Linked DNA regions of Xenopus tropicalis. The protein of the gene in region 1 interacts with the protein of each later gene in a pairwise test. Links are inferred from orthologs where the notes say so. Each region holds a gene or a part of one and is shown on either strand. Other genes may lie near its edges. The genes, in order: fam92a and cby1.

Region 1 (3,184 bases):
TGTGTGTTTTCTGGTATAGAAGAAATGTAGCCTCTTAATTTTAGTTTTTAGGTGTAAGCCCTTCTAAAATTTCTAGCTAACTGTGAAACTGCAGTGATTCCCATGTACTCTACTGAAATCTCTCTAAATAGAGATTCAGCTTTTTATAAAGTATTGATCAACTTTGTGAATGTTTTTGAATGTCTGAATAAGAGTAACATTGATATTTATCATTTCATAGGAGGATCTCAAAGTGACCTTGACTGCTAGGAACCGGGAAGCAAAACAAATGGCTCAGCTAGAGAAAACTCGCCAGAGAAATCCATCAGATCGACAAATTATAGTATCCTTTTAATGCCACATAAAGGGCAAAATAAATATATTATGCTTAGACTTTATTAACATATACTACCATTTTCAATACTTTTTCTTTTTACAAGATAAGGCAAGCTTTCTAAATGTGTAATCCCAGTTCTGTAACAAGATATATGGCTCTAAACATTTTCAAAACACTACACCAGAAGTAAGCATGTTTATATTGGCCAAAATTGACCCTAACAGTAAGATGACCCCAGAAAACCATATAGTTTTAGAAAGTAAGCCGTTCTAACAAAATATGTAAATGTATATTTTTCTCCAATCTGCAAATATTTGCTAAATCGTTTTGTGAAAATATAAATACCAGGGCAGGGTTGGTTACTTATTATGCTTGGCATTACAAACCTGTGGCTTGTAGAAACCATAATTTTTACTTGCAAAACAAGCAATGAAGAATGCAGTTTTATGCATAATTCAGTAAAACCAATCAAAGCAAAATCATTACATAGGGGCAGATTTATCAAAATATACGTTTAGAGCTTAATACATAAATACTTGCACATTTTCTATTCATTCCCATGGGATTTTTAAAAGTGTATTTATCAGTGGGTAAAAGTTAGAACTCACCACTTGATAAATAAGCTTCTACAAATACATAGTTACATAGGGTTGAAGAAAGACCAGAGTCCATCAAGTTCAACCCTTCCAAGTAAACCCAGCACACACAACCTATACTTAACAATCTATACACTAACATACATAAACTATATATACAACCATTAAAACTAACTGTAGATATTAGTATCACAATAGCCTTGGATACTATGCTTGTTCAAGAACTAATCCAGGCCCCTCTTAAAGGCCATAGAAAAGTCTCCCTGTGCAATGCCTGTTTTACATGGAGAGAAAAAGGTATCAACAGCAATTTGGAACTGAAAAGCCAATAAAAATTGTATATGTGTAAATTCTGAGCAACTTTTCAGTTAGTCTTCATTATTTGTTTTTCATATTTTTTAAACTATTTGCCTGCCTCTTGCCAGATTTCAAATGGGGGGTCACTGAACCCTGAGGCAAAAAAATATTGCTCTATGAAACTTTTTATTTTATTGTTATTGTTACTTTATATTACTTATTCTTCTATTTAGGCCCTCTCCTATTCAAATATCAGTCTTTCATTTAAACTACACCCTGGCTGCTAAGGTAATTAGGAACCTAGAAACCAAATAGCAGCTGGAACTTCAAGCTGGAGAGCTGCTGAACAAAAACCTGAAATAATTAAAAAAAAAAACTACAAATAATAAAAAATACATCATACCCAACCCCTTTGAAACTTGTTTTATAAGTCATAAGTAAAAGCTGCTATGTGAATCAAAATGTTTAGGGGTAGCGCCACATGCCTGCTCTTTTCCTACTCCGCTGGGGAAATTCTATCCTAGGGACTGTTTGTTCCCACACTCTGCTTATTTCTTAGAGGCAGGGGTATGACACAGAAGCAGATCACAGGCTGTAAAGTCTTATGATCTCCTTCTGCACCCATGCTGATGAGTTCTTTTAGCCACAGGATGTAGATTCTGTGACCTGTAGCACTTAGTGTTCATCAGTGGTTTCCTGCTGCACATTTGTATGTTTGTAGTAATGTATAACAAAGTTGATCGCCTAACAAAAGCAATACATTATTTACAATGTATAGAAACTATCCAGTGCACTCTTTGCTCCGTAGCATTCAATTTAGTGTGCCTCTTAGTTTCTTTTCATGTGCTCCTGTATAAGAAAGATCAGAAACATTTGTGGTTTATTAACTTTAGGAATAGTTTAACATTTGTTTTTTTTTTCTGCTTGGAAATTGGTGTTTGCTTTTTATTTTTCCTTTACACATTTACAGTCACAGGTAGAAATATTTCTAAGAAAATAATGGAAGCAAAACTACAAAGCTGGCATAATTATCCAGGAGCAGAGGACTAACGGACTTTTGGAAGATGATATTTGGTCCAAAGATTAATATTCATGATGAACATATGGGACCAATGCAAACAACTTTAGACGCAGCCCCTCACATATTATTTCATGCAATTCCCTGCAAGTGTGCAAGAACAATGTGAAAGCTGGCTATGCTGATAAACAGTGAGGGGCAGTTTGCCTCTTTTTGAGAAAAAAAAAAAAAACAGCGGACAAAACAACCCAGATTTCATATTGGTGCTATTAGCCTTAAATGCAATAGGACACATGGGTTATGTAATAAAAGGCACTAACTTTGCCTTGGAGCAGTAACCCATAGCAACCAGTCAGCATGTAGAATTGGTTAAAGGGGACATACACCCTTTCACAGCAGTGTTGTTCCACTGGACTACAGCTGCTGATTAACTTTAAAAAGTCAATCAGCCCAGGATAGTTTTCAGCAAGGCAGGCCTCCACCAATTTCCCCCAGCATTGCTGGTATTCACTACTCCTGGTTAGGTGTTTTTGACTTGGGGCATGTATAGTACAAAAGGTTTCTGAAGAGTTCTGTCCTGTGTATGTGACACGTCTAAAAGTCTTACCAAGGTGCAGGGGTGCCTGGAAAGCTGGGGGAAAATGGAGGTAACCTGCTCTTCTAAAAAATACCCTTTTGCCAGTGTGCTTTTAGAGATGAATCATGGTTTGGTAGAGGTAATATTCGAGTTGCTGGGGGGGGTGCCTAATAAGCAGGAACCTCCCAGTAACTAAAGTTTTGCTTGTCGTCAGCACTGCAGTAACATCACCCTTCTGATGTTACAGGTTCATATGAGTTTGCACTAACTGCACAATCATGACATACTTTCTTATATTGTGCCCCCTGTTGAGCTTGCGGTACAAGGGATAACTGGGTAAATATCTACCCTTTACAGTGAATATTCCTAGTTTTGTGGCA
Region 2 (2,564 bases), on another chromosome or scaffold:
GTTAGAATTATTATTGTTATTTTAACACAAGTCTGTAGCTGTGACGCCATATGAAAAAAGCCACTGATTCTGCGCAGCTCAGCATTTTCTAATGAATGTTATTTTCTTTAAAGAATATCTGATGAGAAATGCTTTTCTTTTTGAGTAATTTGTTGACTTTTATTTTCTTTTTTTGTAGAGAACAAATCCTGGACACAACATTTTTTTCAGGCAAGATGCCCCTATTCGGGAACACATTCAGCCCCAAAAAAGTGCCACCAAGGAAATCGGCCTCCCTGTCTAATCTGCACGCGGTATGTCCCTTACATCTTGTGATAGCTTCTACCGTAGTTTACACCCTTACTTCCCTGTAAACAGAGGAGGCAGGAGTTTTAACCCTTAAACTCCCAGTTCTTCTGCACAATTAGTCAAGGATATGCAAAACATTTTAGTGTAAAACTTTGAATTTCTGAAAACCCTTTATTTTGCAAACCTGCTGCCTCTGTGTATGGGACCCTGTACCAGAAAAAGTGTAATAGGTTGAGGCACTGTGCGCACTGTCATGGCATGTGTGGCTCAAATGCACATATTGTGACCAGCATTTGCCTGTACAGTACCAGCATTTTAGGGGGATTTGCACTGTAGTTATTATTATTAACATTTATTTATAAATACAAGAGGTGAAGAAGGCCCTGTCCAAAAGAGCTTACAATCTACATTGGATTTCCATCACCAAAAACACCTTCTTAGCCATGATTCTAAGAGAGTTGTTTGCAGCTAAAGATGGTGTTCTTGTTGTTTATTCATGATTCCCTTTAATACAATGAACATTCCTTCTAGAATAAAACCATATAATTAAACTGTAAACAGTAATACTTTGAAGAATATAAACATAATATGGTTTGCAAAATTGACTACATTTATTTTTTCTTCCTAGCTGGATCGGACAACTAAAGAAGTTGAATTGGGTTTAGATTATGGTTCCCCAAGTATCAACATTGCAGGCCAGAGCTTAAAATTTGAAAATGGACACTGGATCACTGGTAATTTGTATTTTTGTTCTTATTGTTAAGTTTGAGGGATTTCCAGTTTGCATCTGAGTTGGATGTAGGCTTATGCTCTTTTCCTCCTAGTAGCCTAATCCAGGCCTGGTGCATGCCTGCGGGGCAAATGGGCTGACGGAGTACTGTATAGGAGCTAGGTGCAAGACATCTGGGGACAGATGAGATTGTCTGAAATTTTAGTGCAATACAATACTTTTGTAAATTTACACTACAAAATTCACTACATTTAAAAACCTTGCAAAAGACCACTACAGCAGCTTTAGTGAGCAGTCATTAGGTGCACTGGTGAATTTTAAAAAAAACAAAACTTTTTAACACCCCCCCCACAATGAAACTTTTTTTTTACATTTTTACACAAAAAAGGACTGTCACAGCCAATTATTTATATTTTATTGGCAGTTCATGGTGTTAGTGAGCCTTTCACTGATTTTATAGTTTTAATTCCCCATAAATTCCCAAACTTTGTAATAGAGGCCATGCTGAGTCCTGCTCCTTGTATACTGCTAAAAATGAAGGCCTTTGTCTTCATTTAATTGGTTCTTCCCTCCATTATTGCAGAGTCAGGGGGCACTGGATCACAGAGGGAGGTTCAAAGGCTGCGCAAGCGTAACCAGCAGCTTGAAGAAGAAAACAACCTGTTGCGTGTCAAAGTCGAACTCCTACTGGATATGGTAAGAGTGACATTGTCATCTCCGATGAACAATATTATGTTGCAGGTTACAGACAATTACAGTGGATTACATCTGATCTGAGGTGCAGATGTCCTTCAGTATCTAGAAAGTTTTTCTTGTAAAAAAGGGAGCCACAGGGTAGATTTTAATTATCTTATGTGAACATATGTAATGCAGTAGAATTCACTGAGGAGTGAATTGCTTTCACAAAGGATAGGGCAGGTGCTAGCTGAGAAAGACATGTCACCTCTTCCTCATAGGATGTTTTAGCTATCTAGTGAGATCAAAATCTTTTTCTTATTTTTATGTGCTACGATTAGATTTATAAAAGTGAAAAATGCAGTCACCCATTTCCCCTTATCAGATCATGTATGGGTTCATAGGCCTGCTAGAAAGTAGATGTGGCCACTTTCCTCAAGCAGTCATTCACTCAAAGGGTGCCACATTGCATTCTGTCTCTTTTGCCTGGAAGTCTAGAAGAGTCAAATCCAACATATTCCTACCATGTAATGAGAAGGTTATAAACGCTTAGGGAGAAGACACACTGGGCTACTAGTAGCAGCTACTTTTTCACGGCTATTAAACACCAGAAAATACCCTGCCATAGACAATACTGAGAATTGACTCTGCTAAAACACACATAGAGACAGGTATCAGTAAACGATCAGCATTGTCAATTTTAGCAGCCATGACAAGTAGCTGCTACAAGTAACTCTGTCTGTCTTCACCCTTAAGCTGGCCATACACACACATTTAGGGGCATATTTTTAATCATTGGAGACAAACTTAACTGGTGATGTTGATCTTATAAACAATTAGATCTGAACAGTCACTTACAAGTTAGAAAACA

The links.
Region 2: the proteins of fam92a (region 1) and cby1 interact in binary tests that used the Homo sapiens proteins (3 or more experiments, as listed by UniProt). The two-hybrid records come from large-scale screens. The link is inferred for Xenopus tropicalis from reciprocal best matches to the Homo sapiens genes CIBAR1 and CBY1.

The regions. Positions count from the first base shown.
Region 1 is NC_030682.2:127,981,965-127,985,148, forward strand, and holds the end of fam92a (protein FAM92A1), read left to right. Parts: intron 1-220; coding exon 221-322; intron 323-2,179; coding exon 2,180-2,209; 3' UTR 2,210-2,459; downstream 2,460-3,184. UniProt on the Homo sapiens protein: Plays a critical role in regulating mitochondrial ultrastructure and function by maintaining the integrity of mitochondrial morphology, particularly the organization of cristae.
Region 2 is NC_030680.2:120,458,483-120,461,046, reverse strand, and holds part of cby1 (protein chibby homolog 1), read left to right. Parts: intron 1-178; coding exon 179-293; intron 294-916; coding exon 917-1,022; intron 1,023-1,601; coding exon 1,602-1,714; intron 1,715-2,564. UniProt on the Homo sapiens protein: Inhibits the Wnt/Wingless pathway by binding to CTNNB1/beta-catenin and inhibiting beta-catenin-mediated transcriptional activation through competition with TCF/LEF transcription factors.